Linked DNA regions of Arabidopsis thaliana. The protein of the gene in region 1 interacts with the protein of each later gene in a biochemical or structural test. Each region holds a gene or a part of one and is shown in the gene's direction. Other genes may lie near its edges.

Region 1 (3,755 bases):
CTTGATTGTTTGGACACTCGTCAGTGAACAATTATATCTTTAAAAAGAATATCTAAATGATTTAGAATGACTAAATGTTCTTTAAGAATCAGATGGATGAAACTTTGTGGACAACAATCGTACCAAAAGCACCACATATAGCTTTTCCAATTCTTAACATGTAAGACCAAAAGATTCACAACTCTCATCATAACAATCTGCACAATCCACGATGCGTCATCCATAATGTGCCATCCATATAAACATTCCATTATCGTCATCCACATTGTTAGAACTAAGATACAAACATTCCATAAACAAGCAAAATCTAAAATCTAAAAAGCCAACAATCATATGATCAGTTTAACGTCATCAAATTCAAGAGAGTGGCCAAGTGCTATGCAATGATAAGAGTATCCATATACATGTGAACAAATTGTCAAAACAAATTGGTGATTGCAGCTAATGTAAAAAGTCATATGGATATAGAGGTGTGGATAGGTGTGTGATCTAAACACATCATTTCTAGATCCGGAAGATGTATCTGTTGGGAAACGATAGCTCCAATAAAACCAAATATCACATCTTCCCTAGCATTTTTGAGATAGAAAGAGATTAACACAAAGTTATTGTTAGCCAAAGTTTTTGAAGACCAACTACGTATCTATAGGCTGGAAATAGAGCAAAAATTAAACAAGGAATTCAAGGTGTTCCCAGAGAAGGGTATTAGAATTTTAACTGGAAAACTAGATGCATTTTAACAAATCAAATTTCAATGTCAATTCACAACATTCATATCACTGGATCCTAACTTGGGATTGAGTCAACTACTTAATTTAAAATTCTTCAAGTAATTTGTCAAATCGATCCTAACTTGGGATTGAATCCTATCTTACTATTTATCAATTTAACATTCAATCTTAAGAAACAGATAAAGCCAAGTAAAAATCCAATACGAGAGAGGATAAAATTTGGTTAAAGATGCTCTTACCTCTCCCAAACAATGATTCAGTTTTTCTTCTTCCCCAATTCAAACATCCTTAGTGATCTGAGTTGAGACCAATATTTTCTGTCTTAATCTTCGGCGAATTGGATTTCTAATGTTAATAATCCTTCGATAAGAAACGATGGTGGTGGCCATAAGTTTTCCAGCGAATGGAGAAAAATATACAAAAGTAAAAAAAAAAAAAAAAAATTAGGGTAAACATAGATTTTGATTGTGAATTTAGGATAACCTCATAATTTTCATGATTTTGTAAAAATTATAGAGAACGACAATGATTTTGAAAGAGAGATTGAAAATGATGAAAAACAAAAGAATATGGAAGAGAGAGATGATAAAAGGGGGATAGTTTCTTACCCACACGATCTCATCAAAAATAAGTTTAATAATTATTGTGTCATCATTACTTCAGGGGTAAATTAGTCCAATTTCTCCTCAAAAAGATGGCAAAGTGCCTAATCCCTGAAAAGTGCCTCAAAAGGAATAAAATTCTTTAAAAGTGTCTAAACGTGTCACATTCCCTTATCATTTTAGTCCTTTAATTTTTATATATTCAAAATATTTCAACACTTTGACTCGTAATCTACAGATTAAAAATAAAGAGACTTATCTATCTCTTCGTAATGCATTGATTGATCACATATGAGAGCATTACGAAAATAATTTTATTGAGTAATTTGTAATTTATAAGTTAATTTATGTATTTTTAATTTTTATTTATATGTATTTTATTTATAAATGTATTGTTTTGTTAATTAAGATTATGTGTAATATTTTAATGTATGTTTTAGTGTTATTATTAAAGTTATATAGTTTTAAAATAATTATGAACAATATAAAGACTATAATGCAAAACACATATTTTAGAAACTTCATATTTAAAGTATACTCTTGGAGAAGAAACTACTCATACTTTATATTTGAAGTTTACATACTCTATATATAAAATATCTTTTGGATATGCTCTAAATTATATTGGATTATCTTTTAGAGAACCTAAAACTTTATATTTGAGGGATAGAGTATCTCTTGGAGATGCTCGTGGTAGTTCAATATTGTACCTTAACTGTAACGTAAATGTTGTTATCTTTACTTAGACGTCTTTGATATGTAAAAATTCTATCTCTGTATCCTGTTTGTACTGGCCTCTCCAAGGTTCACCATTATTGGATGATGCACTGGGTTGATATATATAACATAACTTTTTGGCAAAAAAAAGAAACAAGAAAAAAAAAACAGTCTCTTTGGCGATAGCGATTTGGTCGGAGATTTCTCCGATTACATTGATTGGGACTTTAGTGAATCTTCACAGAAGCAACTTCACGGAGAACGGCGAGAAGAATGTGGAATTGAGAGCGTCGTTAGAGGATCGAGAAGCGTCGGCCGTTTCACTGGAGAGATCTAGTGTTGTTCGTTGATGAAGGGGTTCTAATTTCGATACCTAACGGAATTGATCATTGATAAGGTCTCATTCCGGTGGCAATCGTCGTCGCCGGAAACAATGTGCACAGATACGACCTTGAGGTTAGTTTATTCCTTTAAAATCTAATCACAACAAAATATATCATTTGTATTCATGGGATTATGTTCATTGTAATGGATTTGAGGATTTGGTAGATAAAAGTAGTAAAAATTGTGGATTGAAGAATTTTCTTGTGAGAGATGGTTGATGTAAGGGAAGGATCATATTCTGGAACATTTGTTAGCTTTGGTTACTTCTCACCATTGTGATGAAATTTGCTATATCCAGGGGATGATTCAAGTGAGAGAAAGATAAAGTTTTTTTGCCTTCAGTCTGATTCTGCATTGAATACTTCCAGTGGGCTGCAGGTTAGTGCTTAGTGTTCTTTTGATATCCTTGCATTGTCATTCCGTTGATGGCTATTCTATTGCCTCCAATGTATACTCATTCCACTTATTGGCTCCAATGTATACTCATTCCACTTATTGCCTCCAATGTATACTCACTCCACTTATTGGCTATGGGCTGCAGGTTGGTGCTTAGTGTTCTGTTGATACTCATTCCACATATTACCACTCTCTAATTTTGTGACGTCAGGATAATACTTAAAAACGTTGTAGCAAAGCGGGAGATGGCGAAGAAGAGAGAGAGTCCCAAGCTCATCAAAATCAAAGACGCCATTAAACTCATCAACCAACAAGTCAGTCTCATTGGTATCGTCCTTGAACAAAGAGAACCAAAACAATGTCGCAACAATGGTACTTATCCAAAAAAAACCAAAATTTGAGTTAAATACATAGAATTTTGCTTGAATCTGAATCTTAGTTGGTTTGTTTTGTGAAAGCCCTAACATTTGACCCAACAAAATCTGAAAGTTGGATTTTTTTCTTAGATTGGATTTGTACGCTACGGATAATTGATGATACGTATCCAAGTCCTGGACTTACTGTTAATGTATTTAGTAAGACTCTTGAACAACTTCCTCAAATCAAGAACCACGACGACATGATTCTGTTTACTCGCATTAAGGTACAAAGACCTCTTCATTTTCCTTCTGTGTTTTGTGCAGGAGGTTATAAAGTTTGGATTTTTATTGTGTAGATGCAAACTTTTGATAGTGGAGAAAGAGTAAATGCTGCTTGTAGTAGATGGGTTTCTTCCTTTGCCTTGTTCGAAGGTGTGGATTTTGTTTGTTACCAATGTAGTACCAATTTTCATGAAGAAGAAGCATTATACAAGAGTGCCATGGATGATTTACGCAAAGTTTTTGCGGGTTGTAGCCAAGTTATTAAAGGTAACACTGTGAGCTTC
Region 2 (3,755 bases), on another chromosome or scaffold:
TATAATACAACAAGTAATGTAACACCATCAAGCTTAAAACCTATTCTCCTCATTTCATCAAAGATTCCAAGAGCTTCTTCTCCATAACCATGCATACCATAACCCGTCATTAGAGATGTCCAAGTAACTTCATTTTTCGCCATCATATTGTCAAATACAAGGCGGGCATCACTGATGCTTCCACATTTTGCATACATGTCTATTAGACAGTTTGATACGAACAGCGGTACTGCATTCTGCTGGTTGCGCAACGCATAAGCATGAATCTGCTTGCCAATTCTTAGTGCAGCCAAACTGGCACATGCCACGAGGGCACATGATATGGTAAAAGCATTTGGTCTTGTTTGGCAATCTTCCTCAAACATCTCAGATAAAAGTTCGAGAGCTTTATTTGCATCCCCGTGCTGGGAGTATCCACCTATCATCACAGTCCAAGTCACAACATCCCTTTCCTTGGGGGAAAGTGAATCAAACATAGCACGTGCAGTATCAACCTTTTTGCACTTAGCGTACATGTCAATCAGTTGATTGATTACCATATTCTCATCACCATGACCGTTCTTACGCAAGTCTATGGGATATTTGATGGCATAACAATGAATCTCTTTACCATGCATCAATGCTCCAACAGAAGCACAACCCGAAAGAACCGAAATAAGCGTGACTTCATTTGGTTTTATCCCAGAAGACAACATCTGCCTACACACACCCAAAGCTTCATATCCAAGTCCCCGTTGAGCATACCCTGAAATAGCAGCACTCCAAGTAACAACATCCATTTTTATTTTCTCTTCCTGCATCTTCTCAAATAACCTAACAGCATCTTCAAACCTTCCAATCTGTGAATACCCAGCAACCATAGCATTCCAAGATACTACGTCCTTCACTGACATGTTCGAAAACACCGTGTTTGCCTCATCCATCATCCCACACTTTGCATACATATCCACCAAGCAATTCCCTACAAACATATTCTGTATCATCTCACTTGTGACTGCAAAACAATGCAATTGCTTCCCTAGTGAATGAGTTCCTAGGGAAGCACAAGGAGGAAGAACATTCACAAGGGTAATATTATCAGGTCTACATCCGAATTCATTGGTCATCCTGCTAAACATTTCAAGCGCCACCTTAGGTTTGCCTAACTTTGCATAACTTTCTATTATAGAGTTCCACGATACAACATCCCAAACAGACATTTCGTCGAACACCTTCCGTGCATCACTCAATGAACGACAACGGGAATACATAGCAACAAGCGCATTCCCAACAAAGACATTGGAGATAAATCCAGTTACCAGAGAAAGCGCGTGAGCAGATTCTCCACAACGAACGGAGGATATCTCGCCGCAAGCCTTGAAGACGAAGGGGAATGTGTAATTATCCGGCGTCCATGACAGAGAATGCATAAGGCCGAACAAATAGAGACATTTATTGGCGCAGCCATTGTCGCCGTAGCTGCGAATGAGTGAATTCCAATGGTAGACACCAGCGTCAGATGGAGGAAAACGACGGAGGAGAGATACGGCATGAGATAAGCAACCGACGGAGATATAGGTGGAAATGAGGTGGGAAGTGAGATTCAAGGTTAGGATTCCGAAAGAGAGGAGTTTCTGGTGAATAAGCTTGACCTGAGAGATGGTTTTGCATTTGTGAATAAACGGCGGTGTTATCTCCGGCGCCGATGTCGAGAAGAGAGAGACTTTAATGTACTGGTGAGATTTTGCGGCGGCGTTGGGGATGAGAAGGCGGCGGATCATACTACTGTAACTAGAGTGGCGGGTGATTTCTGCGTTTAAACTAAACAAATCAATTCGGTTATATCCCGGTTTTAGATTGGAAATTTGAAGAAAGTAATGAAACCGGATGTGAAAAGAAGAAGAAAGTATAATAGACCGATTAAAATTTAAAGCGAATTTCGGTTCGGTTTATGTGCTAAGCGACCTGCGTTTGCGGTTGAGTGGACGCTTTGGATAGCGTTTGTAGCTCAGCTTTGAATTGTTTTGAAATTTTCAAAATCGCAGTTTATAGTTTCGAGAACCCAGAAGACCTTTAATCTCCCGCCTCTTTCACACCATCAGACTCCATTATCGAAGCTCGTTCACTCTTCTCTCTCTCCAAATTCGAGAGAAAGGAGGAGGAAGGTGTAATGCCGCGTAAACCTAGACATCGTGTACCGGAGATTCTATGGAGGTTATTCGGAAACAGAGCCAGGAATTTAAACGACGCAATAGTAGATCTGATTCCTAACCGGAATATCCAGCCGGAGCAATGCCGATGCCGGGGTCAAGGTTGTCTCGGTTGCAGCAGCGATAAACCGGCGTTTCTGCTGCGTTCCGATGATCCCATTCACTACCGTAAACTTCTTCACCGTTGCTTCGTTGTACTTCACGAACAAACCCCTCCGCTTCTGGATTTCTCTCCAACATCTTGGTGGTCACAGAGAGAGGTAAGATTCTTCTTCCCACTGTACTATACATTGCTTTGAGTGCTTAATTTGAGATATTTCAAGACGTGGCTACTCCTTATAAAATGCCTCTATGTTATCTTATTTTGTATGATGTTGCTGATTTCTAAACATTTTGCTTCAATTGAGTTTATCAGATTGTTGAAAGGATTATTGAAATGATGCAATCTGGATGTGATTGCCAAAATGTGATATGTGCCAGATATGATAAGGTGAATTCTTCTTCTTCCTTCTCAAACTCAATGTAGAGTGCTGATTTTCTTAGCCTAATGATTTCTCGTCTCCTTTGACAGTATGATCAGTCGAGCCCTATTTTGGAGCTATTGACAAGTTCATCTTGGGAGTTTCTTCTCAAGCGGGTTTGTTCTCAAACCCTTTTGATGATTTACTTTCAATATTCGAGTTTGCGGTCACTAATATTCAAGTTCCCTTGTTTATAGGTCGGTCATGACGTCATGGTTTATCTTCTACAGCAAACATCAATATTCTTACCATTACTAGGGAAAAAACACCAGCAAGTGTCTGGACCTCCTCTATGTATCAAGCATAAGCGTGAGTCTCAGAATTAAACTTGTATCCGAGCTCTTCTGTTGGCTTTCTTTTGAAACTTCCACTTTCTTGTTGGTTCTCTGAATACTTATGATTTGTCTGTGACTGCTTGGTTATCGATTATCAACTTCTGGTTTTTAGTTCATATTAACTTAGTAAAGTTTTCCTTCTCCATGGTATAGGGACATTGTCAGTCCATGAAAACAAAAGAAAGAGGGATGACAACGTTCAGCCACCAACGAAAAGGCAGTGGCTTTCTTCAGCTGTCGATGACTGTCCTAAGGATGACTCTGCAACTATTACGCCCATAGTTGGCGAGGATGTAGACCAACATAGAGAGAAAAAAACTACTAAGCGTTCAAGAATATATCTTAAGCGTCGGCGAAAGCAGAGAAAGGTCAATTTCAAAAAAGTTGACTGTAATGCTCCTTGTATAACTCCCAGTACAAATGGTAAAGTCTCAACTGGTAATGACGAAATGAATCTGCACATTGGTATAAATGGAAGTCTCACTGATTTTGTAAAGCAGGTAATGTTCGTAACAATGATATTGATCAATCAAGTTTAAGTTGAAAATGCACAAGTTTAAACATAAAGTTATTGCTTAAAATTACTAAGAGACGTGTATAAATTGCTCTTGATTTATCCTCAGCCTTGAGAAATTGATGGGACTATTTTTGTAGTTGTACTTTGGTGTATTTTAAAAACTGTATCATTTATCTTGTTGTATTCTGGTGGT
Region 3 (3,755 bases), on another chromosome or scaffold:
GCTGATGAATAGAGAGATGCGTTTCCTCCAAACCCCATTGTCTGGAACAGAACAGGTGCGTAGAAGAGAATGGAGTTTATCCCTGTGAGTATCTGAAACATTGGCATGCAAATAGCCATAACTAGCTGAGGCCTGTGTCGTTTCTGCAAGATGTTTCTGAATGGATGTTTGATGGAATTCGCAAGCTCACTCGCATCTACCATGTCTTGAAGCTCGGCGTTGACGTTTTCTGTTCCTCTTAGCTTCACTAAGACTCGTCGACCTCTCTCTGTTAATCCTCTTTCGACCAAACTGTTTGGTGTCTCGGGTAAGAAATACCCGCCAAGCGTCATAAGCAGAGCTGGAAAAGCAGCTAAACCAAGAGAGAGTCTCCATCCCCAAGGCTTAAGCTGTTGAGTACCGTAATTAACCATGTTCGCTGTAAAGATCCCGATAGTTGTAGCTAGCTGAAACATCATGTTTAAACCACCTCGTAGATGAGTTGGTGCCACTTCTGATAAATACAAAGGAACCGCCTGAAAGCAAAAACCAAAGCAAGGTAACTTTCATTAGAGATGAGATTGGTTTATTATTGGTGACACCAACTAAACAATTGTCTAACCTGATTTCCAAATCCAATACCAACACCAAGCATGATCCGTCCGGCAAGAAGCATAGCTAAGTTCACAGCTCCAGCATTCAAACCAGATCCAATAAGAAAGCTGATTCCACCACAAACAATACTCGCACGCCTACCGTAGTTCCTAGTGATGGGTGAAGCCACGAGAGTCGAAACCAAACCAGCTAAGTAGAGTGAAGAAGTGAAAGCAGCTAAGCCTTGATTATCATATTTGCAGTAATTACTTTCATGAGCTTGCTTCTTCTTCTCATAAACCGTGTGGAAAAACTCCTCAAGAAACTCATCCATCGATGTAACTCCTCCTGCATACAAACAAAAAACCATTTCAGCCATTGTTTGATAAGATTATTAAGAAATTGGATTCAAAAGATGAAGAAAAGAACCTGAGATTCCAATGTCATATCCAAAGATGGATCCACCAATAGCTGCAACAAGGCAAGCGATTATAACATAACTAGTGACTTTCCCTTGGTATTGTTCTGCTCTCTCCTTAGCCACACCGGTCGGACCAAACGACCCTCCTGCCATTTTCTTTTCTTCTTCTTCTTCTTCTTCTTCTGCTACTACTTTGCTTCTTTTTAAGAGTTTGTTGCAACGGTTGACTTTTTTTCTTGCTTTTACTCAAATTCCAGAATCTGAGAGACAACGAAACAAAAAGGGTTATACACATTTACATCTTCACGTGGTTAGATAGATTTCAATTTGGTTAGGTTTTGGGAAAATTTTAAATGTGAAGTTTTGCCACTTTGAGATTTGTGATAATTGCGTATGGATTCGTGTTTGGTACATAATTGTTTGGAATTAAGTTCCAACAAGTAAATACGTCATTTTCTTGACCTTATCTTCACATAACAAATTAAAAATTTAATACTGATTTTGCATGTCTTCCTCCTACTTTGATCTCTATTTCCACAAAAATCATCAATGCTCGTTGGAATATTGTCAGAATATACTAATGCTATATAAGAAAACAAATACAAAAAGAGGTTTTATACTTTTTTGGTCAAATGTCATCTTCATAATAAAAAAAAAGATTACGATCTTATCCCGTTCTAACAAGTAACACCTCGGAAAAAAAAGAAATCAAAATCCTTCCTAGTAAAAAAAAAAAAAAAAGTTGGTTTCAGACAGAAAGTGAAGAATCAAGACAAGTGTGATGATTTTCGTCATAGGTTGAAAGAAAACAGATTAAAAAAAAAAGAAGAGGACTTACAGGAGAAAGAAGAAGGAAGATGTAACGATTTGTTGTAGACTGGGAAATGATTCAGACTTGTGTGTGCTATTTATTCCATGGATTTTTTGATCGCCTACTATGAAGGCGATGTTAAAGATGATGTTGACCAAGTTTTGATCAAAGTCGAATACAGAGAGACTAAATATACAACAACAAAAAAAAAAATCAAAAGCTTTAAATTCACACACACAAATTTCGATAGTAGCTATGGATTTAAGACAAGTGTAAGAAGAAATCACACTAGTTTTCAACGTAAGGAGGATGATGAAGATGACATTATTGTATCCACATTTGTCACCCATTTTTTGGAAACAGATGATAATATTATTAAATCTTTGGTTAATTAAATACTAAGGGAAAGAAATAACACAAAAGTGGTTGTAGTATAGCGGTTAGTATCCCACGTTGTGGCCGTGGGGACCCGGGCTCGAATCCCGGCAGCCACACTTTTTGTTACCTCTTCTTTTTTATTTCCAGCAGGGGTAGTTTCGACATTACATTAATCACGTGATCATTAGATCTGGACCGTTCATTTTACTCCCCGCCATTTCTCTCTATAATACTTTTCCCGCCTAAACTCATCGTCATCTACAACCCTTTTACCGCCCAATTTTGCAGTCACTGGTTCATTCCTTTCTCTTCTTCCTCTTCCACTCTCTCTCTCGACCCAAGTTTTGAAACCATGAAAGACCACGATTTCGACGGCGACAAAGGTTACATTCTCTCTTCTTCTCCGTTCTCGATAATCTTTTCCCTCTTTTTTCGCTGAGTTTTGATTCTCACTTTTTTTCTTCTTGTATATAGGGCTTGCCAAGGGATTTCTCGAGAATTTCGCCGACGCTAATGGCAGATCTAAGTACATGGAGATTCTCGTAAGTCTCATTTCCAATATCTTCCACCAATTTCTCTCTTCTAGGGTTTTCGCGAATCTCCCTAATTTTAGGGTTTTATGTTCTATTTTATGAATTTGTGTAGCAAGAGGTTTCAAATCGTAAGATTCGAGCTATTCAAGTCGATCTCGATGACTTATTCAATGTGAGTTTTTTTTTGTTTCTCTCTAATGTTGTTTCTGTTTTGGATGTTGCTATTGTAGAAGCCACTCATCTCTTTTGATATTGTGTAGTATAAAGATGAAAGTGAGGAGTTTCTCGGACGGTTGACGGAAAACACTCGCCGATATGTTTCAATTTTCTCCGCCGCTGTTGACGAGTTGTTACCCGAACCAACGGAAGCGTTTCCAGATGATGATCATGATATTCTCATGACTCAGAGAGCAGATGATGGGACTGATAATCCAGATGTTTCTGATCCTCATCAGCAGATTCCTTCTGAGATTAAAAGATATTAGTAAGTTTTGTCTGAGTCTATTTGCTGGACATAAGCTTTAGGGAATGAGTTTTACAATAGTTTGCTAATGAATTTACTTTTATTCAGTGAGGTTTATTTTAAAGCTCCTTCAAAGGGAAGGCCATCTACCATCAGGGAGGTTAAGGCTTCACACATTGGGCAACTTGTTAGGATATCTGGTATTGTGACCCGTTGTTCCGATGTCAAGCCATTGATGGCGGTTGCTGTTTACACATGTGAAGATTGTGGTCATGAGATTTACCAGGTACAACTATGCTTTTGCCAGATTGTAGTTTCTTTTTTATTTTGTTAACTACTAACTCTGATTATTTTCTTTTACATGTCAAATCAGGAAGTTACATCTAGAGTCTTCATGCCTTTGTTTAAGTGTCCTTCTAGTCGCTGTCGTCTTAATAGTAAAGCCGGGAATCCTATTCTTCAGCTCAGAGCATCAAAGTTTCTAAAGTTTCAGGAGGTTCTGTTTCTGGTCAATGAGTGCCATTTATGTGAATGCACTGATATCAAACTAATGAGTAAAAAATCATTGTCTTGCAG

Evidence for each region.
Region 2: the proteins of AtPOT1a (region 1) and TERT form a complex in vitro, tested with the Arabidopsis thaliana proteins (one study listed by BioGRID).
Region 3: the proteins of AtPOT1a (region 1) and PRL form a complex in vitro, tested with the Arabidopsis thaliana proteins (one study listed by BioGRID).

The regions. Positions count from the first base shown.
Region 1 is NC_003071.7:1,888,739-1,892,493, forward strand, and holds the start of AtPOT1a (Nucleic acid-binding, OB-fold-like protein), read left to right. Parts: upstream 1-1,945; 5' UTR 1,946-2,506; intron 2,507-2,732; 5' UTR 2,733-2,812; intron 2,813-2,975; 5' UTR 2,976-3,075; coding exon 3,076-3,202; intron 3,203-3,336; coding exon 3,337-3,473; intron 3,474-3,545; coding exon 3,546-3,738; intron 3,739-3,755. UniProt on the Arabidopsis thaliana protein: Component of the telomerase ribonucleoprotein (RNP) complex that is essential for the positive regulation of telomere length. Binds RNA non-specifically. Binds specifically single-stranded telomeric DNA.
Region 2 is NC_003076.8:5,541,839-5,545,593, reverse strand, and holds the start of TERT (telomerase reverse transcriptase), read left to right. Parts: upstream 1-2,034; 5' UTR 2,035-2,149; coding exon 2,150-2,449; intron 2,450-2,604; coding exon 2,605-2,679; intron 2,680-2,760; coding exon 2,761-2,826; intron 2,827-2,907; coding exon 2,908-3,019; intron 3,020-3,198; coding exon 3,199-3,545; intron 3,546-3,755. Other genes in the region: AT5G16860 (Tetratricopeptide repeat (TPR)-like superfamily protein), read right to left, coding at 1-1,760. UniProt on the Arabidopsis thaliana protein: Telomerase is a ribonucleoprotein enzyme essential for the replication of chromosome termini in most eukaryotes. It elongates telomeres.
Region 3 is NC_003075.7:898,949-902,703, forward strand, and holds the start of PRL (Minichromosome maintenance (MCM2/3/5) family protein), read left to right. Parts: upstream 1-1,687; 5' UTR 1,688-1,735; intron 1,736-1,806; 5' UTR 1,807-1,853; exon of another isoform or gene 1,854-2,124; intron 2,125-2,227; exon of another isoform or gene 2,228-2,299; intron 2,300-2,426; exon of another isoform or gene 2,427-2,471; 5' UTR 2,472-2,535; coding exon 2,536-2,566; intron 2,567-2,657; coding exon 2,658-2,725; intron 2,726-2,828; coding exon 2,829-2,888; intron 2,889-2,976; coding exon 2,977-3,200; intron 3,201-3,287; coding exon 3,288-3,465; intron 3,466-3,552; coding exon 3,553-3,675; intron 3,676-3,755. Other genes in the region: STP7 (sugar transporter protein 7), read right to left, coding at 1-515, 602-921, 1,003-1,147. UniProt on the Arabidopsis thaliana protein: Probable component of the MCM2-7 complex (MCM complex) that may function as a DNA helicase and which is essential to undergo a single round of replication initiation and elongation per cell cycle in eukaryotic cells.